Linked DNA regions of Mus musculus: regions 1, 2, 3, 4, 5 and 6 are each reported to be linked to region 7. Evidence: microRNA targets listed by miRTarBase, many of them from high-throughput screens and not tested one by one. Region 7 holds a microRNA gene; each other region holds the end of a gene's coding sequence.

Region 1 (4,066 bases), not on the chromosome of region 7:
TGGGGTGTCAAGGTGGTAGAGTGGGTGTGGGTGTGGCCTTTTCATTCTGCATATTGTTTCTTTGGGTATATAAGAACCGCTATCTTGGGAGCTGGAAGCCTTGGTTTATCCGTGTATGAAATGGAGCAGCTTTACGCTTAGCTGTGACCATTGGTACCCTTCATACTGAGCCTAGAAAAGGGCTATAGCACCACTCTTGGCTCTTAGCAGAATGGGGACGGGGGGGAGATCACAGCTATGGCTGTCAGCAATAGGCCGCCCTGACCTGGCTTCACTTCTTCCCCTCAGGGTACCTACTCACTACCCACGAGCAACTTCACAGTGCCTGACCTAGAGCTACCGAGCTGGCTGAGCACAGGCAACTACCGCATCCAGAGTATCTTGAGCAGTGGTGGGAAGCGCCTGGGCTGCATCAAGATTGCTGCCTCTCTCAAGGGCAGATAACCTGGCAGCAGCCACCACAGAATGAAGGGGCACCAGCACGGCAGGCCTCTTCTTCTGTGTTCCGGTGCCCAGGCCTGCCTGCCTCTAACTCTATCCTCCTACGGTTCTCTACCCTCTCTGGAAATCATTGCAACCTGACCTGAGGGAGGATGGACCAGGCCCAACATCTGATGGGCTGTAAGCCATGCTCCTTTGCACCCCTACCAACTTTCTAAGAATTTCTTTCGTATCCAAAACAGTCAAGGAATGGGAACCAACATGTTTGGGAATCCTAAGGTCAAAACTGGCCCAACCTGGACCTCCTGGAGTTATGCTCACCCCACTTCTTTGTTTTAGTCACCAACTTTAAAACCAGGATAACCGTATTAATTTCTCATTCCATCCTGAGCCTCTCTTCCTGCAAAGAGGTCTAGGTAGTCAGTCTTGGGTCCCTCTATTAACTTCTGTGATTAACTGCATTCTCTTTGCAACTTAACTTGTCAACACTGGGGCTGACAGATCCTGAAGAGGCAGGGTGGTGTGTGACAGAAACCTGTGAGAGTTATTGTTGGGCATGCTCCAGTAACCCTTGGCAAAGCACAGGTACCTGTAGGGCCAAGCCGAAGACCTAGGGAGGCACAGCAATCACTTCTGGGAGCGATGCCCATTTTTCCTTTTTCCTTTTTTTTTTTTTTTTTTTTTGGTATGATGCCTTCAAGAATGGGATGGCATTCCTTATACCTGACAAGAAACAACCAAAAAAACCAATAGCACATGTGCTCTGGTGCCAGGTGGCCAGGGTCTGGAATGGCATATCTAGTTCTAAAGAGGTGCAGTCCCCTGCAAGTTCCATGTAAGGAATGTTGCCAGATATTTGCAACATTTTTCTTCCTTAGGCCCCAAACCCAGCCGTTTATATGAAATTGTAGAATTTTTAACTATTGGAAACAAATGGTTTTTTTATATATACTTACTATGCAGGCCAAAGGGGCCCCACGGACTCACCCAGGGACATAATCTGGCTCCCAGGTGGCTGCTTTTCCTCACATCTGTTCATCTTCTCAATCTCAAGTTATCTGGCCGCATCTCTTCCCCCTTCAAGGTCAAGTCCTTGGTGCCTGGCCTCAAAGAGGGCTCAGCCTGCACTAGAGCAGGTCTACATGGCTTCTGAGAGCTGGGCACTGTGCCAACTTCCGAGCCATCACCACCAGAGTAGAGGGGTTCACACTGGAGTAGATCCCACCTAGCAGCCACCACGTGGAACAGGGGTCCTGTGAAGAGAGTGGGTCCCACATCAGGTTGCACCATGACAACTTCCTGAGCCTCCTCGGACAGCCCAGGTTCTGGACTAGAAGACTGGTCTGGCAATAAATCTTTTTAACTTGCTGTGTGGGCTCCTTTTCTTGGCTGTGTGCTTCATTGAGCATGGCTGCATGTTTGGGAGTCTGTGATGGGCTGTGGCTGTGGAAGGGCTCAGTGGGTGGTCCAGGGGAGTCCAGGCATCTCTGGCCATGGGTGCTTGTGTTCATCTCAGCAGCAGCCGGGGCTTCCGCCTTGCTCTGTTTGGGCCTGAACGCCCAGGGTTGCTTTCAGATCCCTTAGCCTAGTTTTCTGCCATTCAACCTTAAAGCTTTCCACTACATATTTTTTTCTTTTGGTTTTGTGTGCATGTGCATGCATGTGAGAGAGAAAGAGGAGAGAGAGGAGGCTAGAAGACAACCTTGGGTATCATTCCTTGGGTGCTTTCCATTTTTTGTGTTAAGTCAGGGTCTCATTAACTTGGAACTGCTATGCAAACCATGCTGTCTGGTCAGAGAGTCCTGGGTATCCACCTGCCCCCACCTCACATCCCACTATTACTGGGATTATAAATGTGTTCATGGTTCTGGGGACCCGAACTCTGGTCCTCAAATTTGTAAGGCAAATCTGCTACTGAGAGGCAGGGTCTCATTCTATCTAGTCTAGGCTGACCTCAAACTCCTCTGTACATAGGACAAGCATGACCATGTCCTTATGCTTTCAGGATTACAGGCCTGTACCACCACGCCTAGTTCTCTTGATTTGTAGTCTGCACTCTGCTTTTGTTGTTTGGTTGGTTCTGCAAGGTGGTATAGGCTAGTCTGGAACTTAGCCCTCCCACTACTTGCTGGGATTGTATGCAATGCACCCCAAGTTCACAATCAGAACAGCACCTTACCAGCTCAGGAAATCTATATGTCATACTTGTTAAATGTGCCTTGTTGTCTCTTGTGGGTTGTGGGTAAGATTTGAGGTGACATCTCAGATCCATGAACAAAGAAGGATGGTGTGTTTTGAGGCCTAGAAAGAAGGAAATAAGGTCTTTGGGAGCGGGCACTTGAAGGTCTTGGCACACCATTCCTTTGTTTCTGCTTACTGCCCACAATGAGGTGAGCATGCCTGCATACATTCCACCATGATACCTTGCTTCTCAACCCTGTATATATCATCCCTCATGGTACTCGGTATACATCATCCTACAATGGAAACCAGTTTCCCAGTGCTGTATATATCAGCCTGCTATACTACTATGCTTTGCCATGTACCCTCCTGAAAACTAGGGTTAAGGGTGTGTGTCACCATGCCCAGTCTTGAGGGTGGGTTTTTTTTTAATGCTTAGTTTATTATTTGTGTGTGTGTGTGCCACCATTATATATAAATAATTTTTGAGACAGGTTCTCACTGTGTAGCCCTTACTGGCCTGGAACTCACTGTGTAGACCAAGATGACCCTGAACTCAGGGACCCACCTGCCTCTGGCTCCTGAGTGCTGGAATCAAAGGCGTGAACCTCCACATTAAGGGAATGGAGCAGACAACCTGAAGGGGTGTCTGATGATTAATCCCTGGTTAGTTTGAGTAACAGAAAAGATGACAATGCATTTGAGTCTTTTAAATAAGAACCCAGGATAGAGTCTACTGTGCACAGTGGAACCCCAAGGAAAAGAAGATAGAGAAAAAAGCCAGCAGCCTCAGGAGTAAATGTCACCCACTGACAAGAGTCTCATGTGGATGTTAAGCTGGGCATAAAATAGCACAAAAACCAAGTATCTGCACTGTTTAAGTCTTACCTAGCAGGGCGTGGTGGCTCACACCTGCAATCCCAGCCCTTATGAAGATTTTAAATTCAAGTTAGCCTGGGCTATAAAACTAACACTATAAAATGAGCAGTTACTGAAGGGTATGCGCCATTTCTCTGAGATGCTCTTAGTATGTCATCTCAATATAACTATGGTCAGATAATCCCAAGCAGCTCTTCAAGGTTGCCAAGGCCACGAATAATAAGGAATGATCTAGAAACAGCCACATGCATACCGGGAGAGAATACAGACACTGTCTGAGATCCTCATTTCAGATGTCGGATTAGACTAGCATTTCAGCTGTGTTGACGTGGGTGTGGCTGTGGAGGGTCTTAGCATTAATGACAGGTGATGTGACATTTGAGCTATTTCTGTCTTGCTTTAGAAGTTTTTCAAAATAAAAAGAGACTGTTTTGTGAAAGTTTCTGTTAATTTCTTTTACATTTATTTACTGTGTATGTGCGCAAAAGAGGAAAGAGTATTCAGGCACTTGTTCCATGGTGCATTTGTGGTCAGAGGATAACTTTGGGGAGGGAGTCAGTCTCTC
Region 2 (4,066 bases), not on the chromosome of region 7:
GAGCAGCTGAAGAGAAGGCATTTCATGATGCTCTGTCCCTACCATGGACACCAGGTATCTCCCAAGGTGTGCCTGCCTCTCAATTCTGAGACTAGTGCCGCCAAAGGACATGTAGGAGGATGGCCAAGACATGACGTGGCAAGCTAAGCCCTCCTCAGTGAGTGATCATAACTCCACCAAGACACTGGAAGACTGCAGTCTGGATTAGGTGAAAGATCTGGCACCTTGACTTTAGAGGAATGAAGTTGGCACCCCCGAGATTAAATGAATGGAATGCAGCATTCTGGCATCTTTCCTTATCTGTGTTGCCTTCAACCACAAGAGCTGGAGCCCTGTCAGAAGCACCAGGAATGTGCCGCTGAGCTTATGTGCTAGAGTAGAACCACCTCAAATAAAAGGCTTCAACAGCATTTTGTGATGCTACGTCAAGTTTTGGTTCAGGGGACATAGTAGTGACCACATCCTAGGGTCAGAAAAGCAAGCAGAGAGGTTGAGAGGGGCTCAGATATAAAAGAGCAAGGGCTCGGCAGCTTCCGAAATACTCTTTATGGTGAACCATGCATCAGGAAGGCTGTAAAAGGTAACCTGACAGGTGAGAGCATATGGAACCAGGGAAGGTAATGAGTCATATCCTACGGCAAACAACAGGATGAAGCAGATGTGCACCTGCCTCGTAATTCTGAGTCTAGTGTGGCCATAGGGCAGGAGGCTGCAGCCTGTCTCCCTCAGTCGTTTCTGAGGGGCCCAGCCATGGAGCACTTAGATTGGGTGTGGGGAAGTATCAGATGGCTTGTGCCCAGTAAGGCTGTCCCTGGGCTACAGCAGCACCACCCTGAGGGTTTCAAGTGGCTTGCAAATGGAGCGGACAAAATACAGGGGCCCAGTGCATGTGGTCAGGTTCCACACAGCCCTGAGGCCTTGATGGTCACTTTAACCAGGTATAGAGAAAGCTCACCTTTTTTAGACAAGGTCTGTGTAAGCCCAGTCTAGCCTTAAACTCATGATCCTCCTGCATCAACCTCCTGAAGGCAGGAAGTTTCTAAAAATTCCCTAAACTTCCTGACTAAATTAGGATATTAAGGATATCCCAAAAGTGAGGTAAGTTTTTAAAGGGGGGGGGGGGACAACAATAAAAAAAAAACACAACAAAACTCATTTTCCATTTGGCTCTTTTTATTAGAGAAATCAAGAAGACAGCAAGTAGGGAAATCCCCATAGTGAATGGAACCATCACAGAGATGCCTTTCTGGAACCCCAACCTTCTATGATCCCCAAAAGTGTGCTTTGTGATTTCAGCAACTTATAGAGGGGAGAGAGGAAATACTGAAAAAGGCCACTATTTAATGATGAGAGAGTGAAGGTGTACAGGTTCCTAACCAGCCTAGGGCCAAAAAAGGAGACTGAAACGTGTGCGCAGAGCAAGCGAGCCTCAGACTGCTGAGAGTAAGGCATTCAGGTGCCAACCTGGAAAGTTCCCGGAGGCACCACAAGGTCAAGTGCACATGGAGGCTGTTGGTAGTGAGCTGCGCAGACATACAGGGCACACACATGCCCACACACACACACCGAAGGGAAGTTACTGGACTACAGTGGTGGTGGTGATTCGGTTCCCTAAGAGTTTGTGCTATGTTGAACCAGAGTCTCCCTGCTTTGGGAAGAGGGATGACCAGTCCCAAAGACCTCTACTCCTGTAGGTGTCATGAGGAAGCGTCTCAAACTCATGTCCCAAAGTGCACGACCAGAGAGTGCGTCTGGCTGCTGATATGTGCTGTTGCTACCACAAGCCTAGGTGAGCTTCCTTCCGGATGGACACTGTCTTGATGAACTGCTTCTTGAGGAATTAACACTGTTCTTAGTTGTCTGGCACAATGCTGTTCACCCAGAGCTTCCTGTTGGGCCTACCTAGGGCAGTGACCTTATCCACAACCCAATACTCTGAAGTTCTTCCCAGGTTTTCAATGGACTCCTTCCTGGGTCCCAGCTGCAGCTGGGTGGCGATCTGAAGGTAGAGGAAGGACAACGACGACCAAGAAAACACTACTGTAAAAACAGGACCTCCTCATACTGCCCAGCACCCCTTTTGGGATGCCCGAGGCCCATGTTACACTGCAATACCCACCAGCCCCAAGGAGTGAGGCCTAGAGTCTAAGAGACTCAAGTGCTTGGTTTCTCACTTAGGAGCCAAGACCCAACTCACTGCCACTCTCTAAAACCCATAACAAGAAGGCCCTAGGACAAAGAAATTATTTGTAACTTCTAGCAGCAATTCAAAATTGTGGGTTTAATTCTATCCGACTACCTGGTAATAACAGTCCACTTCCTTTTCAACTCTGTAGCACAGGTCTTGCAAATGGCATTCAGTGCGTGCTAACAACTCCACAGTAGGTATTACTGACTTTCTTGTTCAACGGGAGAAGAATCTGTTGTCATGCCAAGCCTGCCAAGCCTGCACCAGAGAAAAGCGCCACCATTCCTAGTCCAAGGGATGGTCCTCCACACCTGCCTGCATGACTTCAGGTGGGACCCATGCTCATCAGAATCTCACTAGTGGCCGGCTCCACGAAGGAGCTTTGATGCTGGGGGGGGGGGGGGGGGGGCAGTTTTTGATTTCCAGGAGGAAGGACAGTTAGGGCAGTGATTCTCAATAGAGCAAAATTTGCAGAATGGCTCAGAGCTCCACAGAGAGGGTCTGGAAAATGGCCATACCTCTATTCAGATAAGAACTACCACCTGGTCAAACGAGACACCAGGGAGAAGCAGACCATTCCTATGCTGATGCCCCCAGGTCCTCCTCCCCTTCATCAAGTCTCTACTACATCTACAGTAGAACCAGGTGGCTTCACTCTTCAAAAGGGTCATCACTAGCCTACATAACAGTCTCCCAAATGACACTTTCTCTAGAGCCACTATGACAACCTGTGCTGCTTCCATTGAAAAGCACACACGACTTCCACATCCCTCCCCCTCTGAATGCCCAAAGGCTCTCAGTCTTGAGAGTGGCCAGGAAGTTCCTGGGCTGGGGCTGTCCACTCTGCCCCAGCAGGGTCCAAGTGTTATCGGCCTAGGGAAGGCACCTTGGTGCACCAAGACATCGTGCATTCTGGGGCTACCACTCCATCCTCCTCCCATCACTTGTGCAAAATTGAAACAGTGTGTGGTACTTGCATGTTTCATTCTTTTTAAAAAAAGTCTCCCTCCCTCCCTGCCCCTATGTCTTAAATGTTTATATAAATTCTTATTTAAACAGTAAATTAGAAATCTTATTTACATTAATTTCTTTGTTCTCCCAAAGGAGTGCCTAAAACCGCACTCCCACCCCTTTATTGGATACAAATGTTCCCCTAACTTGGTTGTGATTACTGTTTAAGGAGCTCCAATGGCACGATCAGTTGGTGCATGGTACTCATACATGTTACTGCTGCAAGGAGCAAGGAAGGGAGAAGAAAGACCACCAACTAAACTGTTTCCCCATCTTCTACAAATAAATACGATCACATCAGAAGCCAGCCTGTCAGGCGAGGGTCTTGCAGAGTTGCTTTCAATCGGTAGATCCCAAGAGGAAGCCAGGGGATGAGCCATTTCTCCTTCTCTCCTAATCGATGCATTCCATCCTTTGAGGTATGATTTATTTTTGTTTTTCTCTTCTTAGTCTTGTACCCCATGGAGCCCTTGGGCCAACACAAGGCCCATGAGGCTGTCCAAGTTTTGGGGCTTCTCTGGCACTGGCACCGACAGCCAGTAAGAAGGCCTGCAGGACCTGCAGGCCTGGCTCAGGGTCAGAGTCCCTGGTTCCTGGAGAGTATCACAGTGCATCCTCTTCAGTGCAGCCCCCGCCAATCATGAAACGAAATTCCTGCAGGTTTGAGACTCCGTGGAAGTGAACAAAGGCACCAGCAACCACAAAGATGTGGAAGAGCTGATGAGAGTGAAACTGGAGAGAGAAAAGAAAGCCACTATCACTAAGCCTGCTAACGGTCAGGTCCCCAGGAAGTAACAATTCCAGGAAGTAAGGCACACTGCTTCCCAGCTTGCTCGGACAGTGGGAATGCATGGGATACAATTCAAA
Region 3 (4,066 bases), not on the chromosome of region 7:
CTCCCTGCCCTGTTGTACTGTAGACAAGCCTGTGTCTACAACCTTTTCAAAACTGCTTCCTACTGCCTTGCACAAAGATAATGCCCAGTAAATACTTGTTGAGTGCAAAGGGGTTTAAATATGCCTCATTGAATGTGCAGGTGACAGATTTACTCTACATCAGTTGTCTTCTTCTTGGTGTGCTGAAATACCAGGTAACATGTAAAGATTACTATTATTGCACAGTTAATATTTCTCTTAAAATGTACCTTTGCTTTCAATTGACACACAATAACTACACATATTTCTGGGGTAAAGTGTGGCATTTCAGTATCTTATATTTAGTATCTTATCAACCAATTAGGGCAACTGTCATAGTCATTACCTCAGACATTTATTACTTTCTTCCCTCTGGGGTCATCCAGAATCCTGTATACTAGCTACAGAAGAGCGTAGAGTAGTTTCCAACCATAGCTCTTCCACTGTGCTGGGCAACATTAGACATTATTCCTCCTTTTCAGCAATTCTGTGTGCCCTATAACGTCTCCCTCTCACATCATTCCTAGGATTTGGTAAAACTTTAGCTTCCATATACAAGTGAGAACACATGGGATTTGTCTTTCTGTGCCTTGAACAATTAATGTTTCCTGAACACTCAGTAAGTGCCCGGCACTATCCTGGTACTCTAATTCATTTTGGAAGTAACCATGTAAGCTAGACATTTCTAATTTCCTTCTATTAAAATGGAGAAACTGCACCACAGAGCAGATGAAGAACGCACCTGGTTTGACACAGCTAGTAAGCCTCGGTGTCATGGAGGCTGAGATATATGGTATGACCAGTTTCTACATAGTACTACGTGGGGCCTCCTGTGAGATGCTCATAGGGCAGAAGAGAGTGAGTCACAGGTGGATGGTGCACTGTGTCACAGGGTGTGGGGCGATTGAACAGAAGAACCCTCCACGAGATCTCAAGCCCACCACTCACACTGTTGTTCACCTTGTTCAGCTGGATGCCCCTTGTTCTCAGGGGCGGGATTGCATAGGCGCCTACGGTGAGACATCTCTGATCCTGAAATCTTGGCTCTGTGTGGTTTGGTCATTGTCTGCTTTCTCTGCACCTTAGTTTCCTCGCCCAGGAAATACTCACAATGATAGCACTGCCCTCATAAAAGCTTGTGTGGTGATTGGCTGTGGTGATATGGAGTTACGTGCTTGGAGCTCAGAATTGTCTTTCTCATTACCCTACTGCTGTTTCTTTTACAAATTAACCTTTTCCATTTGTTTATTTGTTTAGTTTTTTATTTTATTTCAATTTGTTAAGGGCTTCCCACCTCCACACGGGGGAGAGTCTCACTATGCGGTCCTGGGTGGCCTGGAACTCATTTTACAGACACCACTGTGATCTCAAACTCACATTACCTACCCACATGAGGTTGAGAAGATATGACTCCCAGTAGTCTGCCACTCTCTAGACCCCATACCCAAGAGTATTTTAGTAACACAAATTGGACTCTTTGGGGGAAAGGACAGAGAGACAGAGAGACAGAGACAGACAGACACAGAAAAGAACAAAAATGTGTTGAAAGGGAAGTGGGTAGGTAGGTAGGAGAGGATCTGTATGAGTTAGGTGGAGTATGTTAAAAAATACATGGAATTATCAAAGAGTTAATAAAAACATTATTAAAATTTACCAGGCTGGAGAGATGGCTCAGTGGTTAACAGCACTTACTGCTCTTCTAGAGGTCATGAATTCAATTCCCAGCAGCCACAGGGTGGCTCACAATCATCTGTAATGGGATCTGATGCCCTCTTCTGGCGTGTCTGAAGATTGGACAGTGTACTGACATACATTAAATAAATAAATAAATTTATTTAAAAAAATAAATAAAAAATTTAAAATTACCAATCAATTTAGGATTTAACAAGCTGCCTCACTTTGGGGGACATGGGGAGTGAAGGGCATGGCCTATGGATCCAGCAGCTAGAGACTGATTCCTTATCTCTTTGGGGCTATCTGCTATTGCTTCTTGGGTAACTGAGAACAGGGACTCAATGGAACCTTTCTCATCATTGGAGGTGCTTTAGCTGTTGCATAAGTCACACCAAAATGTCACTGACAAACACTTAATTTTGGCCCAGGGCTCCATTATAATGCATAGTGATTTACTATGGGTTACAACTGAATGTGTTGGCCCCTGGAAAGTTGCTATGGACTCTACCTTCAAAGTATAAACCGAAATAAAACGTTCATTGCTATGTATTGTAATGCTAAATACTGGTCAAAACCTGCTTGCTCCCAGGGATGAAAGAACCCTCACATAGACCCAAGTGACTATATGTAACCTTGCCCCCCAAGTTATCCCTGATTGGTGAATAAAGTTGCATACAGCCTATAGCTGGGCAGAAGAGAGATAGGTGGGTCCTTTGGTTCCAGGGCTTGGGTTTGGGGGCAGGAGACCACGAGGAAAAGAAAGAGGAAAGAGAGGGAGGAAGACACCATGAGGTGAGGGATAGTAAAAAAAAACTGGACATATGAGCTGACCAGTCAGAGTAAGAGTGGCCCATGCAGAAAATAGCAAGTCATAACTCAGGGTTCTTGATAGGGAGGTATAAACTAATTGCTTAGAGGGTAGATATCTGCCCAGGTCTTGTGTTGACTAAGACTTATCATAAATATAAAAGTTGTGTAAGTTGTGTATCTTTTATCTGGGGACTGAATGATCAAATGGGAAACACCCATTGAGATTAAATATTACCTACAACAAGAAAGTTTTCTCATGTGTTTTTTGTCATAGTAGAAAAAAAAAGGAACTACTGTTTCTTACATTCAGAGTCTAGCAGGTGTATCTCTAGGTATGCTGATCCATAAGACTTCGGGATAAATTCTGTCCTAGAGAGTGTTCCATCTGTTCCACCTGTAACTCCTGATACTGTCTTCTGGAAGAACGATCTCTACAGATGTAAAGATTTGAGTATTATATCAGCAAACCAAGGTATTTCAGCGTTACTGGCCATCAAGCTAAGAAAGATTCGTTATTAAAGCCTTCTGAGAGAACCTAGTGGATCGCAGACTTAGACGTCAGACACCTCCCCCAGAACTGAGCAAGAATAAGTTTATATTATTTTAAGATACAAAGTTTGTGGTACATTGTTATAGAAACCTTAGGAATGGGACACACAGAATGTCCAGTTCTGTATTAGGAATACCTAAGTTTTTAATACTTTTATTACAGAAATTCAAGATTCTGTGGCTGGGTAATTTGATTGTCCCTGCTGTATCCATCATTCATGCAGCCCCAGGGAAATCAATTGCTCTATATTGAACATAAATGTATTGTTTGTATAACTGAATAAGAAAACCATTACTAAGTTAAAGGAAAAGAGTTCCTCACAGTTTGAGTGTGCACACATCTGTGTGTATTTGGTCAGGAAGGGCACTCTCCATAAGGAAAGATTATTTTTGCATCAACCAGAATTTGACAGGAAGATTTCTCCGTTTGACAAGGATATGACAGCTATTGAATGACAATGTTCGAATACTCCAGAGTCTAAGAAGCTTGTTTTGTTTTATTGAACAGTAAGAAAATATCCGAGGAAGTGATCATGATTTCAATTTTAACTACAACTAGAGAGCATCCGGCCGTTCCTCGTCAGTCATGTCTACCTGAATTGACACAGACGCCTTAGAAAACTTGTTAGCTTTCTAAGTAGGGTCAACACTTAGTCAAAACACTTCAATGTGATGCAAAATTTTAGAAGGTTGGCTTTGTGGGGGCTATGTACTTATAGTTGCCTGAATTAACTGAAAATCTTCTTTGCTGACTCAACACATTTTGCGTCATCAAAAGGCTTCCTCTGGCTGCCAGGTTGAAGAAACTTCTTCACTGTGGGGAGGTTGCTGACTCTGCTTCTCAGCGCCTGCAACAGACAAAGCAGAGCCTCAGAGAGCAGCCGAAGAAAGAGTTATTGCTTGCCCTGCCCTGTGCCCCTGCCAGTCAAATGACTAACCGAGCCCCTCCATCAGCACCAGGGTGGAGGTTGGAGACAGACACCCAGAGAGAATGAAGATGAGAGGAAGGAAATGG
Region 4 (4,066 bases), not on the chromosome of region 7:
CTCTTAGACACTTATACTTAATATGATAACTGGCATGCTGAAATATAACTCTGCCATCTTATTTTTGCCTTTTAGTTGAAGCTTGTCATATTTATGATCCTTCTGTCTCAATCTTTCAAGAACTGGGATTATAGGTACACACACACACACACACACACACACACACTGGCTTTCATCTTGTCTTCTAATAGTGAGATTCTTTTATTTTTAATTTTTGTTTTGCAAAAATCCTTTCTGTATTTATTGGTTGCCCACTGAGGTGTTACACATTCAAATATAGAACACTTATCTTCTTGGCTTTCCTCTTCTAACCCTGCTCTGTATTTTCGGACCTTGGCAGTTAGGATTACAACTTGTGCAACATTGTCAAGTATGAACCAGGAGACTGAGAAGGGATTCTAGTGCATTTATCCTAATTTTTCTCATGGTGACCTTATCTTTCTAATGTGCAAAGCTTCCTCCTTTCATTCTTTCTTTTCTGCTTATTTTCTTCGTTGTTTTGAGCAGGATGGCTGGTAATATTTTTAAAAACTTGTCTGTGTCTTACTTTGCCCTCATTGTTAATGGTTCTGGGGGTTTTTCCAGTTCTCCATGAAGTGTGCCACTTGCTTCTGAAGTGTGCCGCTTGCTTCTGGGCTCCGCCATTTCTGATTGGAAACAATGTACCCCCAAAACTTAATCCTAGTTTCAAGAATTTTTCATTTTCCAAACTGACTATGCAGTGCTTTGGTGTGCATTTCTTTGGGCTTGTATGGGGTCCACTCAGCTACTTTGTCCTTTGCAGACCTCAGGATGTTTTGGCTTCTCTGCAGGCTGGCCTCTTTCAATACGTCAGCTCTAATGTTAGGATTCAAACGGGCTCCAGGATCTCTTAGCTTTTTGGTTTTCTGCTCACCCTGGCAGCTCTTACTCCATCACCCAGCTCACACCTCCTTTCCGTGGTCCCCACTGTTCTGCTGCTGAGCCCCACACACTGAATTGTTAGATTTCAGCCATGGTGTTTTGATACTAACATCATCATTCAGGTCCTGTCCTCTGCTTACTGAGGCTCTCTATGTTATCACTGGCATCCAGCAGGATCCCAGAGCTTGCTGTGGCCATTTCCTCAGTCACTATGGAAAGTGACGGCATTCTCATGAATAAGACACTTTGGCTTGGTGATCTGCACTTTGTGGTTGGGTGTTGGAAACAGTCACAACTATAGTGGTCTACGTTAACCCAACCTGTGGCAGTGTTGAACCCATGACCCTTGTGAGCATTGACAATAACCCACTGAACTAGCTCACCACTACCAATGGCTGTTTGAAAACCTTTGACAGACAATCCCAACATGTCACATCACCCTGGCATCTATAGTTACCATTTACCAGCTAGTCTGGTAGTTTCCTTGTTTTGGAATATGATCATCAATTGAAATCAGAACATACTGGAGTTTTATAAGGCTCTGGATCTATTTAAGTCCTGTTTCAGCTGGTTCATTCTCAAACTGTTCTAGCATGGAGGTCAAGGGAAAACCATCAGTGATGGATGGGAGGTTACATCCCCATGGTTCCAATGGCACACTGAGACAGAGTGTTGCTGCCAGGTCCTTCCCAAGCTTTTTGACACGCATATGGTGGCAAAGTGGTTAGAGGATTTGTCTTATGCATGTGTATGTGTAAATCCAGGCTCTCTTCCAGGCCCCAATTGGCATGGTGGAAACAAGTCTACCACGTTTCTCTATGGCCTGCACGGAGTGTTTGATCTCTCAATGTTTTTTAATACCAAGCTGTCCCTTTCCTAGTATCCTCAGTAGAACAGGCTATGTGTACTGTGTGTAAGCATTCAAGCACACCCTCTTTGCTGTTTCCAGTGCATGGCTATTTTAGTTACACGCCTAAGCTGTATGAGGCAAAAGAAAATTCAGAGAATTTACTACTCTGGGGCACTGGGTCTTAAGGCCCTACTGAAGACTGCCATCTCCCCAAACTTTCAGTCTTGCCCCAGATTGTTGCATAAATAATACACAGAGATTTTAGTTGTACTTAACAGGAGAACGAGGGAAAAGCACCTCCTAGTCCATCTTCGCAGGAACCAAGGTCTCCACACACCTCCATTTTAAATTGTTGTGGGGTTTCTGTTGGTCATTTTTGAGAAGGCTTTACGATACAGACCAGGTGGGACTCAAGCCATCCTCCCACCTCGGCCTGAGTGCTAGGACACAAGCGCACAGTTCCATGCCTAGCAAAGCTGTTGCTTATGTGAGAGAGGGTATGCAGAGAGGCCAGAGGCCAGCCTTGGTGAGCCATCTATTTTTCCTTGAGACAGGATCTCTCTTCTCACCAGTCTGGGAACTCTCCGAGCAGGCAAGGCTGGCGGGACAGCGAGCCCTAGAGATGTGGCTGTCTCTGCTCTTCCAGCATTAGAAGCTTTTAACAGCAGAGATTTTGGACAGGAGTTCTCAGGACGGACCTTGGGTCCTCACGCTTGTGTACTGGGCACTTAACTAGTCGAGCTATCTACCCAGCTCCGAGCTTCTATGTTTGCTGCTTTCACTCGTGGGAACTGAGGTAAGCAAACAGGAGCCATGCTAGTCCTTCCTAAGGACTCTGGTTTCTTATCCTGAACAGAAATGCCCCCGGTTAACGCTGCATTTGCACCCAGGACACTGGGCCTATTTCTTCCCAGCCTTGCTCTCAGCTCACAGTCCATCTCTTTTTTTTCTGGGACAGGAGCTGGCACACTTTGGAGATTTCTGTTATTTTTCTGCAACCTAGGACCTAATTATAATTATTGTTTTCAAGAGTTGTATTGTTTGTTAAAGGGCCCAAATCACTGATTAAACAAAAAGGAATCCCCTGCCTCATATGATGACACACATCTGTAACTAGATGCAGGATGGCTGGGAGGCAAGACAATCCTGAATGCAAGGCCACTCTGGACTACAGAATAGGCTTAAGTCTCAAAAGACAAAGAAACCCAAAACTCCATTACACGATGATGATTGCTAATACTTAGAGCCAAGCTGTGTCCTAAGCTTATCACATGTTTACTCATGAAATCTTCAAATTCACGTTTTTGATTTTCCCTATTTATACAGGTGAAGCAACTAAGGTCCAGTGAGCCAGAGAAGCTCAAGTCCCACAACTGGAAAGTGGGAGGCTCAGCTAGCCCCAGTAGCACAAGACTATAATCCCAGCCAGCTATATGAGAAGCTGAGGCAAGATGGTCACAGGTTCAAGGCCAGCTTGGCTCCAGAGTCCACAATACCAGTTAACACAGACTCTATGAGCTGAGGCTGCTCTGTGTGGTCTGAGCAGAGCACAGTGAGGTGGAGCTCTTGCTGAGAAACCCCTTAGAGTCATGAAAGCAGTCGCCCCTCAAAGGACAGTGTACCATCTTTGTACTTCTCAAAGCCTTACCACCTACCCTCTATATTTTGCTTACTTCTTACAAGCCGATCGGATACAAGCAGAAAGCAGACCAAGCGCAGCAGTGCGCCCCTGAGCTACAGACCTACCCTCCACGGAGGTCGTCCACACAGTGGGGGGCTATAGCAGTGTCCACAGGAGAACCCACGGCCATCACCACTTGCACATGCCAGGATCCCCTGGTCCCTTTAATGGTCTAAGCCCATCCCCATTCCAGTTCTTTGTTACAGTTAAAAATAAAGAATCACCTATGTGAGAAGCCCTTCCCAGCACTGTTGAAAATCAAGGTCAGAACCAAGAAGGTCCAGACTCCTGTTCGCAAACGTTAAAAGCACTTCATACTAGCACACATAGCTTCAGAGTCTGTTATGACAGTTTTGACTCTCCCTTTTTGATGATGTCTTCCATTTCGTCGGAGATCTTTCCTTTATACTCATTTGGTTCTATTGCTTTTAATTTCTCTTGATATTCCTGTGGCAAACCGTTTTCTTTCGCACCCATGCAGATAACCTAGAAATGGTTAAAATAGGGGAACCCTTTTAGTTAGGAGTATGATTTAGTGTAGCACCACAGCTTTGTCTGTACTGTAGAGATCCACGATATTGGCTTTCGATGACGAAAGAATTGATACACTTTAAAACAAGACCCAGGCAAAG
Region 5 (4,066 bases), not on the chromosome of region 7:
GCTGGCGGTGGAGCCCAGCCCTGGTGGGGTCCAGTACATCATTGCCACTCAGGTGAGGCCAGTACACACGGCAGGCACCCCCTTACCTGCCGGAGGGAGGGAGGATCCAAGCCTCCCCCACTGTGTCTCAGGGCGGAGGCAGAAGCCCACATCAGCCACGGCACGGAAGTAGCCACATGGCGTTCTTAGGCTCAGAGTCATTGGACACTGTCTGGTTTACTCATTTCCCCTCAGTGGTCATTTAGGGACAACTCGTAGAGGAGAGCGGGGGCGGGATGTGAGGGTTATGTACTCTGGACAGAAAGATGATAAAAAGCAGTCACTTGCCAGGAGAGGTAGATGTTGGGGTCCCTGGGAATCTGCTCTCAGGATGTAACCCACCACAAGCACGCCAGCATCCCCGCGTCTCCTGATCCTGCTCAAAGAGGCTTGCTCTGGGTCCCTCCTTTCACACGAGATGAGGGTCACTAAGATCCCCACAATCTAGCCCGGAATGGAACCCCAGGCAGCTTGAGAGGCTCATCCTGCGCAAGCTGGTGTGGACTTACCACGAAGGGACCCACCCGTGTCTCACCACCCCCCCCAATCTAATCCTGCCTTAGAGTCTCTGACCTGTAAAGTCTCCGGAGCAGCGGCTACTGCCGCACCCCATGACTGGACACTGATTTTTCTCCCCCCAGGTCGGACCAGGACCTCAAGTCCTAGACGACACTCATGATCATCTGCTAGGCCAGGATGGACTGCCACAACGGGACCTTTGACCTCTTCCACGTCCAGTGCCATTTGGAGAAAGGGGTTGCCCACTGGAACTCGGGAGCTGGCCTGCTGGTCAGCCTCTCCTGAAGGGCTGCTTGATGATCGATTATACTGGGGGATGTCGAGTGTGATGGGCAGCCATCTAGGCGATCACGGGAACCCCTCTCAAGTGCCTCCGGTTCCCCGCTGGTTTCTGAAGGGCTAGCTGACCCACTCGATGGACCTTCCAGCACTCCAGACAGCTGCTCATCAGGGATGGGGAGTCGGTGCCTCCCCCCTCCCCCAAGATGCTCTGAGGGCCTCAGTAACCATCTAAGCGTGATGGCTCAGACAGCGGTGCCTCTCTGCTGAGACTCAGGCCACAGTTTCTTTATAAAGCCTCCTGGTGAGGGTAGGGGCTGTCGAGCCCACAGGTAGGGTCCATTGTGTGTGTGGGTGCCTCATGAGGGTGCAGTCAGTGGACCTGAGGACCACAGGAATAAAGTGTGCTGTTCCTGCCTGCCCGTGTGGGCTGTGCTTTCTTCTTTCTTCCTAAACCAGCGCTTTAGGGTCTCTGGTCTACTGATCTGCTGGGTCCTACCCGCCATTGAGTTCAGTCTTGTTTCCCTATGTAGTGGAGAGGTGGGGGCTGAAGTGGGTCCTGCCAGGAACACTTCCCACTGCCCACAAGCCAGCCCCGTGAGAGTCTCCTGCCACCTTGTGACCACCCTAAGTCATACCCCAGCATACATGCAACAGCTGCTGGAGCTGGTCTAGGCCAGAGGAAAGAGACAACAGAACAACGGTGTTCCGGTGTTCTGTCCCCTGCTTTCTGGGTTTTCCCAGCCTTGCACACTATGGTCCCCTACCCCCACCCCGTAGTCACGTGACCCAGGACACACACCTGCCCCAGCTCACAGTGGGTCGGAAGTAACCTCATCTCCTTTTAGGGAGCAGCCTTTATCTGATAACTAGAGGAGCAGGTGGATGAAGTGACTTACGCCTCTGGCCCTGGGGGGGTACGGTCACAAGTCACAAGCAGTCACAAGTGGCCCTGGTACTTTCCAGCTGGAGAGAGAGGTCGATGGGGAGACTGTCCCACCCACCAAGGCTCAAAGGGAAGGTGCAGAGGAGGCCTCTGGGGCACAGCCCGACAGGGCGGGGCCTGAGCAGGGGGCGGGCCGATCAGTGAGGACTTGCGAAGTGGGCTGCAGAGTTGGACCGGGCTGCTGCGTGTGCGCAGGGTCCTCGTCATGGGGCAGATCGAGTGGGCCATGTGGGCCAACGAACAGGCGCTGGCGTCTGGCCTGAGTGAGTGAGGTGGGCTGCGGGTGGAGGGGTTGCTCAGGACCCGTGGGGCACCGCGGGGGAAGCAGGGCTCGGGCTGGTTCTGCGGACCTCAAAGCGCGGATCCTCGGAGAGACCTACCGGGGCCTCCGGGCACAGGACGGGCGGTGGCCGCTGCAGGCCGTGCTCGGCCGCCTGTTCTAGAGGCGACCCCGCCCTGCACCCTGTTGGGTCCGCGCTGGGACCTCAGAGGAGGAAGTTGCTTACAGCTGGGGAAGAGACATTCACTCGGTGGTTTCCCGCCTGGTTAGGAAAACCCCCGGAAGACCCTCTTCTGCGCACAGCCCACTTGGCCAGGAGTTGGGACTCTGGCCTTGAGGTCACTCGGGCTCCGGCTTCTCCCCGAGGGGCCTGGGATAGGAGCTAAGCTCATCCTAGAGGAGCAATCGGCTCCATCCCACAAGCGAAGTGTGCGCAGAAACTATTTCACAAGAGTCTGGACACCCCTCAGAGTGATCTTAGCCCTGATGGCCTGCCGAGTTAAGATGCAGGACACTAGTCTTTAGTCAGGTTGACACTGGCCGTGGCTTGAACAGTTCAGCTTGTCTGGGAGGTTTGCCAAGGGGCAGTGGGACCCCTGGGCTTCACTGTACCAGGAAAGGAACCTAATAGACCAGACCATGAGCAGCAGGCCTGAGACTAGAAACTGCAGACATGCCTCAAAGCCGAAGGGAGCCAGAAAAGACCTGCCAGGGCAGGGAGGATGGCCCAGACCCCCCTCCACTCACCCGGGAATAGCGCATCGAAGAGGTGATAGAGAAATCTCCCCCAGCCCACGCTGGAAGCTCCCGTGGAAGGCCTTGCAACCCCAACCTTTTGAAAATGGCGCCCCTCCCCCACCTGCAGTCTCCCTTCTTACCCTTCCCAGCCTCCTGCCAGTAGTGGTTTGTCCTGTGACCACTATGGACGGTTTCAAAAGTTACCTCCAGGAAGTGGGGGTGCCAGACACACCTAAGGGTGGGAAGACCTGGCGAGCGCTGTCCATGCAGTGTCTCCTGTCCTCGTGTGTGCTAAGGTCTCTATGTACTGCCTCAGCTAATTGTTCAGGGTGTTCAGGCTGACACAAGTCTCCTGTGCTGAGGAGTCACAGGCTGTGGCCACTTACTTTCTCCACCGAGTGTGACTTCCGCTAACTTTTCTTTTTACGGGAAAGCACAACTGTCCTGGGAAGGTTCTGAACTGTCTAGGTCCAATCAACAGGGATGTACTTTGTTTCCTTTTGTTTTTTTAACATTTGATTTTTTTCAGATTGTGTGTGTGTCTGGCCATGTGTGTAAGTGCGGGGGCGCTTGCAGACAAAGGCTAGAAGAGGGTATTGGAACCCATGGAGCTGGTGTTACATACGGGTGGCTCTGAACTGCCTGATGCGGGTGCTGAGAACCCCACTCAGGTCCCTTGGAGAGCAACCCTCGCTACTAATCCCTGAGCCATCTCTCCAGCCCCCTATTTTGTTTTTTTCTAAATCACAGAAAATTCCATCTGTTCTGGCCCCATTACCTGGCTCCATCTCAAGACGAAAGCCCGTTCCTGACCCCCCTGCTTGTCTCCTGGGCTCTTCCTGCCTTCCTTGCTAGGTTGCTCCTTCTCTGTCTCTGAGTTTCCTGAATGTGCACGGGGAGGGGGGCGGGGGGGGGGGGCTTTTTGTACAATTGGCTGGGGTCACAGCTGATGCCTCCTTTTCAGTCTTGACTCAGATGCCACCTGCTGAGACATCAACCTCAGATAGTGGGCTTCCCTGGGATTGAACCCTCTGTTACAGTGTATCACTTCAGCAAGCCAGGGGCTTGAGAATCAGTCCTTGGGTCTCCCTGTTGGGTAAAGAATGACCCCTCCCACTCATGGTGGTCAGTGTAGCAGAAGCTCACAGTGAGGACATGAGTCCCTAAGGACTATGGGTAGCAGGCCGAGTGAATGTGTGACAAAGTACCCTTCCCTCCTGCAGAGTGCACCCTTAAAGCTGACCAGCAAAACAGGAAGGTTAATA
Region 6 (4,066 bases), not on the chromosome of region 7:
TAGTACTGACTCTGAAGCACTGGGGCCTTGATGGAGATGTCTGTATCACAGCAGCTGTTCTAAGAGTTTCATTGCTATAATGGGCTCATCAGATACCCCAATGATGGAGACTGGATGAATGGGATAGTTCCAGATCTGATGGCAGAAAGCAAAAATATCTCTTAGTATACGTTGGAAATAAAGATGTCTCAAGCAAGCTTATTGTCAATGGCAAATGCCTTTATCACTTAGTATACACAGAAGCAAATATTGACCCATCCATATCTTGATCAAGAGTTGATTACTTTTAGTTTCCATTAATTACATGGAGAATCCAAGAGTAAAAGAACAAAGAAAGAATAAAGTATAGTTTCTGTTTTAGACTCTCTGGAGCTACTTGTCCCTCATAGGAGAAATCTTGTAGCATGGAAAAATGTGAAGCCAGGCGTGGTGGCACACGCCTTTAATCCCAGCACTCAGGAGGCAAAGTCAGGTGGATTTCTGAGTTCAAGGCCAGCTTGGTCTACAAAGTGAGTTCCAGGACAGCCAGGGCTATACAGAAAAACCCTGTCTCGAAAAACAACAAACAAACAAACAAAAGTGAAAACAAAGAATCTGAAGCTAGGAGGTGCTGTGGGTCATCTGCAGATCTGCTAAGCAACTCAGGGAGCAACTAGAATCCTCCAGGAGGGAAGTGCCAGACTTCAGGAGAAGGGGGCTTATGAGGAAGGAACAAGAATCTACTGAAATAGGAGAAAGATGATGTAAACTATTTACTAAGTCATGTTGCAGACTAAGCTACTCAGTACAAATATATAAGAGAACAAGAGCATGACTATATAAAGGCCTGTCCTCATCAACTTATTAGGAATGAGAAGAATGAAAATCAACCACAGCCATTATGAATTCTTTGAGGAGAACTGATGTAAACATAGGCTCCCAGAGAATGGGCAAAAGAGAAGTGAGTTACAAAGAGGAAACTATTCATCTGAATTATTATAAATATCATCAGCAACAAATTCTAGTGGGGGATGCTGAATTTCTTCCCCTCAAAAGGAAACACGGAGCAACAGCAGATGATTGATACAGGAAATTACCTGACAGGAGACCGTACTAGGGAGGTGAACAGACTGAGCATGTGGGCCTTTCCCATAAAATCTTGAGAGAGCAGCTTTAAAGCACACAAGGAAATGGTGGAGAATACTGAAGTCATACAGAAAACTTGATAAGCAAGCCACACAATGTTTGCTGAGAAGATTTGAATGATGAAGCTGTATTTTCATGACAAGACTATGAACATTCAAGAAACTCAGGAAGCTGGAGTTAGAGATTCAGCAATGAAAAGAAATGGTCAAAAGAGCAGCATTTCCAGCAGCTTCTCACTGCTGCTTGCGATGTTGCTTTTAGACAAAGAAGCTTTACAGAAGCAGGGTTTCATCTGGAATTGAAGGAAAAGCTAGTTGGTTAAAGCAATATTTTAAAAATAGTACTGTCTTTGACTACTAGCGCTTTCTGGAGAAGTTCTGATTTGGAAAATCTTAGGGAAGTTCATTGTATATTCTGTATATACAGCAAAGTATATCCAGAAGTTCTTCCAGATTGCAGGATGAATCTGACTAAACCTCGTCCTGCTTCACCTTCTACTTCAGACTTTAGGCAGATATGATCCTATCTATTGGTACATAGCTGAATGTATCATACATAATTCCTGTAGAAAGTAAACAAAGTCAGCCTGGAAACAAAATGTTCAAAACTCAGAAGTGGAACAAGAACCTGGCCCACAGGAAGGTTGCTACAGTGGATGCTCCTTGGCCAACACCAAATCATATACAAAAAGATGACCCATCTTTGATTCCTGGAGTTATCAAATTTCACAAAGTAAGGTGTAGTCAAAATGCCAGCTACCTAATAGTTTTTAAAAGTCAGGTTTTGGGGGTTGTTTGCTTGCTTGCTTGCTTGCTTTGTTTTTGGACTTTCCTGTCTATCCTTAAAGAGCAGAAATACTAGCTCATTTAAAAGGCTTTGGCTATGTATTTTTAGTAACAAAAGTTTAGGTTGAAACAAAGCATAAGAATGATTTTCATCTTCTAAGTATTGAAAATAATGCCAATGTAAAAGTAATTATTATAAGTATTGAAGTTTTTGTCCTAAAGATAGTTGGCATTGGAAACTCAGCATTTACTTGAACACGCATATTTTTATAATTTATAACAAAGCAAGTTCTATATTTTATGTAGTGTGATTTTGGAATTACTTTTGGATGTTTTAAAGCAAAATGTATGCAAAATAAAATAAAGACTTCCATCTTTTCTTTTCTTTGCAGGTTATTCTTTTCACATTAAAATCTCTTTCCCCAAACTATAGTCTATGGCCACTTCTGTTTCTTGCTGCCTTCTCTTCCCCAGATAACAGCAATATCCATGCTATCTTAAACCCTGTGCTGGACAACGCCTTAGTCCGTATGTTACCTTCTAGGCAGTGGGCTCACATGGTAACCTCAAAAGTCAAGTGAGTACTGCTATGGTATCATCAGCAATTTCCCAATACCTTCTGCCCTCAGTTTAACTAAAACAGAACAGAACGTGTTTTGCCTTTGGTTTTTAACATTTCAGTAACTCTTTTATAGAGATTCTAAGAGAAGGAACTAGACTTTCCCCAACTCCCATATTGAAATGCTCTTGGAAAACCCCTGTGCACACACACAATTTTTGCAGTCCCAGGATCTGGTGAGCTGTAGGCTCTAGTACTCTCCCACTGACCTAAGGTCCCAGCCTATGGGCCTGCTTCCTAATCCTCAGTCTAGGAGCAACACAACTTGAACAGGCAAGACTGTGACAGGAAGATGTAGCTATGTAAGTCTTCAGAGCCAGAGGCTCCAGCATCTGGTGCAACACCAGCATCTGGCACCACTGGAATTCTGATCTCAGTTTCTTTTCTTCACTGTCATTTGTCTAACTTGTCCTCCCAATTTGATGTTTCTTGAGCCAGCTAGACTGGCACTATAGCATAGCGATGAAGCCCCTTATCTGCCCCACCATGCTCAGATACTACAGGAGGATGAAGAGAGAGACCAGTAAAGCATGCTGTTGTTTTGTTTAACTCTGAAATAGTGTACTACTATGTGAAAAAGTGGGAATAGGTCTGCATTTGTGTTTAATTTAGAGACACTTCAGCTTTACCATCTGAGTCTTGAGTTAAGTTTTGAGTGGTAAGATAGTTTCAGGCCCCACTGAAACAGAAGCAATAGTCTTAACATGGTCAATACAACACATCAAACACACTTGGGCATTTGGCCATCCTCACCCTTATAAGAGCCTCCCTGATCCCTCAGGATTTACAGGTAAGTCATGCATTTTCCTGCAGTGGAAACACGAGGGGGGTTCCCCGGCTGGAAACCTTCTGGTCTCCCATTCCCAGGTCTCGCTCAAGTACTTCCTCAGAGCTGCTTTTTGTTCTCCGACCACACTCGAGACTTGTGGAGGCTGTGTAGGAGCTTGAGGAGCCATTTGCTGTCACGGTGCTATCCCCATAGGTCAAGGTGAGGTCACCTTCCGTTAGGATGAAATCAGAGTCATCTTCTCTCAGTGGCTCTTGATTCTGAAAGGTACAGCCAACAAAAAGGGGAACCTGAGATTTACCAGAGCTGTGGCCAACCTAACCCCAAATTCTTACATCAAAAACCCAAGGACTTGGGAGGCTGCAGAGATGGTATAAAAGATAAGAACTCTTGCTGCTTTTATAGAGAACCCAGGTTCAATTCCTAGCACCCAAATTAGGCAACCCACAGCTGCCTGTGATTCTAGTTCTAGGGAATCCGAAACCCTCTTGTGGACCCTGTGGATACCTGCACACATTTGATCATATACATACACACACATACTCAGGCACACAAATACATACATGCATAAAAAACTTCTTCTTGAAAAAGGATTTTATGAAACCTGTCTGACTATGCCCTTGGTATGGTCACTGAGCTTATACTGTCATCATTCTAGTGTGCATATCCCTAATCTCTAAGGAAGGGAACAATTATTAGGCTTCAAATTACAGGAGGTTTTTTTTATGTTTTTGTTTTTGTTGTTTAAAT
Region 7 (4,066 bases):
TCTTAAAATAATATTTTATTGTCCCTATGGATTTGGGGATCTCTCCCCCACCCCACCCAGCTACATTCTATAGGGGTGACCTTTTAAAATCTACACCCACCCTTTACCTCTGTAAAACCGGTTGACGGGTGGGGTGGGGGAACATGTAGGGGTGCGCGCTCTCTCTCTCTCTCTTTTCCCCCTCCCCCCTCCCAGTCTCCCTCCTCCCTCTGTCTCCCCCTCCCTCTCCCTTCACTCCTCCCTCTCTCGCTCTCCCTTCGCTCCCCCTCCTTCTCTGTCCCTCCCTGCTGCATTTTGCATGAGCTATCTAGGTCATTAGCATTTTAGCGTATGCAAGACTTGACAAGGCTGATGAGGGGCCAGATGGGCCTCGCTCTTATTTATTTATTTTTTTTTTCTTTTCCTTTTTCCCATCCACCACTTGGGACCTAAGCGAGAGGACCGCAGCAGGAGAGTTCCGGAAGGCTGATTCCCACAGATCCTGGTAAGGGACCGCAGCAGCTCTGCCCTGCGGCACGCCCGGCCAGGCTACACCCGGACCCTACACTCAAGGTAAAGGCGGCGGTCACAAGCCCTGCCCAGGCAGCAGTAGCTGGGCCCCTGCTTCCCATCCCTTTCCTCTCCGTCATCTCCCTCCTCCTGGCCCCCCTCAGTTTCCTAGGCGAAGCTGAGAGCGAACTGGGTGGGTAGGATTCGCTGCGGTGGGGCGAGGTGGGGTTGATGTTTTTTCATTGTCTGGAACTGCAGGGGAGGCGAAGCGCGAGGAGAGGAGTGAGGGAGTCGGGGTAATTAACACGGGGGAGGCACCCCTCCGTCTCCCACTTCCACCCACATCCCGAACCCTCCACCCCCCTCCCCTTTGCAGGAAAAAGCTTGGAAACGAAAGGATGCGGGAGAACAAAGAGCCTACGGAGGACGTGGCTGTTATCTCATTGTCTGTGACTGGGGGAGCTGCGGTAGGAAGGATGCGGTGGTCCTTAGCTCATCGCGTTCCCCAACCCCACACCCTCCCTGCTGTCAGTGCGCACGCACACGCACGCGTCGCCAGCTTTTTCTTTCTCATCTCTCATTTTTTTCATCTCATCTTCTCCCCATCCCCTCCCTTTCTTTCCACCTTTCCTTCCTTTCTTCCTCCCTTCCTTTCTCCCATCCTCCCTCTCTTCCATCCTTCCTTCCTTTCCATCCTTCCTTCTTTCTTTCCTTCCTTCCTTCTTTCTTTCCTTCCTTCCTTCTTCCTTCCTCAGGAGAAAGGCCTCTCTCTCCGTGTTCACAGCGGACCTTGATTTAAATGTCCATACAATTAAGGCACGCGGTGAATGCCAAGAATGGGGCTGTCTGAGCACCTTGGGTCCACGAGGGCCTGCCACGGAAGGATCGACCCAGCACAACGCCCTGGGCAGATCTCAGCGCTGCAGCTGCAGGCGCCCACAGTACGGGTAGCAGGCTTCTGAGTGCCTCGCAAAGTAGCCCTTAGGGTGGGGAGGTGTGCAGCTACCGACAGAGAGGGGTTTGTGCAGATGCAAATAGAATCTAGGAAGCAAACAACTCATTCTGTGACAGAAACACGGATCTATGCAAGCGGGGGGGTGGTGGTGGTGGTGGCGGCGGCGGCGGCGGCGGCAGAAAATAGCCTGGGGACGGCTGGAGAGTAAAATGTGCCCCTCAGCTCTGGGACCCTGCCCATTGTAGAAGGCCGACACCTTCATCCCTACCTGTCTTAGTTCCGGATTTCAATTTATTACCCTTAAACAAATAATAATAACCAAGTACCCATGCGACTGGCAGACTGCCCCAAAGCCTAGACTGCAGCTACCTTGTATTGTGCTTGGGGTTGCTGGGGTAGTCTTTAGGGGAAGCTGTTTGTCACCCGTTGGTGGAGAGCTGTGGGCATTTGACAAGCTTAAACAGATCTCTGGAGTGAGCGAAGGCGATCGGCAAATTTGTTCATGGACAGCGCACAGACTCCATCAAAACTGACAGCTAGCCCACTGCTCTAAAGCAGGGCCTCCCAGCCTCCTTGGGGCTGTGGCTGAAGTTTCAGGCAGAAATCCAGAAGCTACAGGAAAAGGAGGCGCAGCCCACCCCCAGCCCCCAGAGTGTGGGCCTCTCCCCATCGCTCTTAAAACCCCAAGACAGAAGGAAAATCAGCATGAGTAAGGTGGAGGCCTAAGGAAAGTCTGTTTTGAAGCAGGCTGTCCAGGAACAGAAAGGGTTAATCCTCCCTCATCCTGAAGCACCTGCTTCCCAAATCAGCCCCCAACAGCAGCAGCTGGTCCTGGAGGCCCCCGACACAGTTCCATCCCGTCTCCATCTCAGTGTTCCGCCAACCTGCAGTGGATGGATGATGGCCTGGTGGCCGACCTAAACTCATTAATTTTCAGGTGGAGTAAATGGAGGAGGGGCAGGACCCAGCAGCAGAGGGAGGGAAAGGAGGCCAAGAGCTGGCCTCCTCCCCCCCCCCACAACCCACCCCCAGGAAGCAGGCTGTAGCCCTCCCCCCTGCTGTCATGCCAGAGGCCTGCCTTTGCAAGGCCAAGCCCATGAAGGATGTTTAGGAGTTTAATCTGATTCCTAACACAGTAATCAGGGTCTAAAAGAGCATCCGTTGAAGTTAATGGAGGACTCTTGTCTCAAAAAGCCTCAGCCTCATCTAGTCTAGTAAATTAGTATTTGAGGGTATATCATAGATCAGTACCTCTCTGGCCTAGTTTCCTCAAGAGTATTCATTATTTCTTGAGTATCTACTATGTGTCCTTCTTTACGATGATTTCAACTTCTAAATTTCCTCACAGAAGAGAATGTTAGAGCTAGCCAGGCTGAGCTTCAATTTACCACATTCCACCTAGGCATTCCCAGAACCTTCTCCCGCTCTGCAGAAATAAGCCACCGCCTGCTTACTCTTGCAGGCAGAAAGCTGCAGTGCCCACACCCTGAGGGTGTCTCTGGCTGAGTCCTACCGGACAAGCCAGACTGCTTTCAAGGCAGAAAGGGAAAGACCCAGCCACAATGGCTGTCCTAAGAGACGCCATAGCCATTGCTTCGAGAAAATCTACCTCCCTTGAAATAAAAATTGGCCCTTTCCTGGGGTGCTCCCTCACTTCACAAATGGGTTAGAAGAGAACGGCTAGTGTGCTGTACCATTTTGGGGGTACACCCATTTGCCCCCCCCCCCCCGTGCTCATTGAGATGTTATTTTGCCTTCAAGCAATGGCCTAAGCAGATGATGGCCCAACCCCCCTGGACCACAAATATCCCCATTAGCAATCCTCTACTCAGTAATTGCTTCCCCATGATTCTTTCAAATGTCCCCTCGTCCTTCACCGATATTTCATCTTACGTAACCCCCAGATGCTTCCCCAAGTAAAGTCCTTTTAGGTAGAAACCCAATATGCTTTTGCTCTGAGAGCGCAAACCGCAGGCACCATCCATAAGGCCTGCCTGGGATCTGCTACGGAGGATCTGAGTTGGGAGGGGTGCATTGTTATTTTATTGCTTACGTAAAACTCTTGTTCCAGAAAGTATTATTCGTGTGTTATTGGCGTGTGGGAGTGTTCTGGACTGGCCAGTCTATGTGAACCAGTGTTCGTATGTGTCTACCAGATCCCCTTCCCAGAAGGGGTTTGTATGTAGGACTCTAATGACCTGCTCAGCCCCAGGTATAAGTGCAAACCCCTTTTGTTTCCACCAAATGAAGAATCAGAGCCAAGGTCAGCCTGAGCCACCTCCTTCCTCTACATTCGCTGCCCTTCTCTGCCCATCAATAATTATGCAGAGAAGCCTTCTGCTCTCTCAAGGCACCTCCTGGATTCTCAGCATCATCTCCCCTGCCTATTTGAACCTTCTAATTACATCTTATGGCGAAAATGAAGGGAGGAACTTGCGATCTAACAGTAGGATGAGGCTGCCATAGTTTGATGGCTGTATATGTTTTCTTTTTCCCCTTGGGTTTATTCACACCCGCTACTGCCTTAGTCCCCACTGGGTACAATCTCTTGTGTTTCTTAAGGAACCCGGTACTTGGACTAGATTTAGTAATGTATCAAAGGACTAATTACAATTGCTATGT

Evidence for each region. The annotated mature microRNA mmu-miR-124-3p reads UAAGGCACGCGGUGAAUGCC and lies in region 7 at 1,302-1,321, shown strand. An mRNA with a match to its seed (bases 2 to 7 or 8) in the 3' UTR can be bound and repressed. Matches are read on the target gene's strand: a 7mer-m8 pairs with bases 2 to 8, a 7mer-A1 pairs with bases 2 to 7 and ends in A, and an 8mer does both.
Region 1: the mRNA of Gm2a is a reported target of mmu-miR-124-3p. Seed matches in the 3' UTR shown: 7mer-m8 at 2,656-2,662.
Region 2: miRTarBase lists Adipor2 as a target of mmu-miR-124-3p. Seed matches in the 3' UTR shown: 7mer-m8 at 3,068-3,074 and 7mer-A1 at 1,445-1,451.
Region 3: the mRNA of Gsta3 is a reported target of mmu-miR-124-3p. The part of its 3' UTR that is shown has no 7-base or 8-base seed match.
Region 4: miRTarBase lists Ggct as a target of mmu-miR-124-3p. The part of its 3' UTR that is shown has no 7-base or 8-base seed match.
Region 5: miRTarBase lists Mvd as a target of mmu-miR-124-3p. The part of its 3' UTR that is shown has no 7-base or 8-base seed match.
Region 6: the mRNA of Slc9a7 is a reported target of mmu-miR-124-3p. The part of its 3' UTR that is shown has no 7-base or 8-base seed match.

The regions. Positions count from the first base shown.
Region 1 is chr11:55,109,090-55,113,155 of GRCm38, forward strand. Gm2a (GM2 ganglioside activator protein) reads left to right here. Exons shown (of 4, transcript NM_010299.3): 4 at 289-3,940. The coding sequence ends at 444. Among named protein-coding and RNA genes, the nearest start is that of Gm2a, 13 kb to the left of the region's middle.
Region 2 is chr6:119,351,998-119,356,063 of GRCm38, forward strand. Adipor2 (adiponectin receptor 2) reads right to left here. Exons shown (of 8, transcript NM_001355692.1): 8 at 1,153-3,931. The coding sequence ends at 3,803. It overlaps Cacna2d4 (calcium channel, voltage-dependent, alpha 2/delta subunit 4), which reads left to right. Exons shown (of 38, transcript NM_001033382.3): 38 at 1-410. Among named protein-coding and RNA genes, the nearest start is that of Lrtm2, 23 kb to the left of the region's middle.
Region 3 is chr1:21,264,676-21,268,741 of GRCm38, reverse strand. Gsta3 (glutathione S-transferase, alpha 3) reads right to left here. Exons shown (of 7, transcript NM_010356.4): 7 at 3,167-3,899. The coding sequence ends at 3,780. All of the region lies in intron 1 of Gm28836 (a long non-coding RNA gene), which reads left to right. Among named protein-coding and RNA genes, the nearest start is that of Gm28836, 5.0 kb to the left of the region's middle.
Region 4 is chr6:54,982,082-54,986,147 of GRCm38, forward strand. It overlaps Ggct (gamma-glutamyl cyclotransferase), which reads right to left. Exons shown (of 4, transcript NM_026637.3): 4 at 3,014-3,920. The coding sequence ends at 3,777. Among named protein-coding and RNA genes, the nearest start is that of Ggct, 8.8 kb to the right of the region's middle.
Region 5 is chr8:122,430,790-122,434,855 of GRCm38, reverse strand. Mvd (mevalonate (diphospho) decarboxylase) reads left to right here. Exons shown (of 10, transcript NM_138656.2): 9 at 1-52; 10 at 681-1,260. The coding sequence ends at 761. It overlaps Cyba (cytochrome b-245, alpha polypeptide), which reads left to right and starts at 1,916. Exons shown (of 6, transcript NM_007806.3): 1 at 1,916-2,046. The coding sequence starts at 1,989.
Region 6 is chrX:20,102,639-20,106,704 of GRCm38, forward strand. Slc9a7 (solute carrier family 9 (sodium/hydrogen exchanger), member 7) reads right to left here. Exons shown (of 17, transcript NM_177353.4): 17 at 1-3,576. The coding sequence ends at 3,325. Among named protein-coding and RNA genes, the nearest start is that of Chst7, 45 kb to the left of the region's middle.
Region 7 is chr14:64,589,408-64,593,473 of GRCm38, forward strand. Mir124a-1 (microRNA 124a-1) reads left to right here and starts at 1,250; the gene lies at 1,250-1,334. Mir124a-1hg (Mir124-1 host gene (non-protein coding)) reads left to right here. Exons shown (of 4, transcript NR_040709.1): 3 at 434-552; 4 at 866-4,066. Mir3078 (microRNA 3078) reads left to right here and starts at 1,778; the gene lies at 1,778-1,864.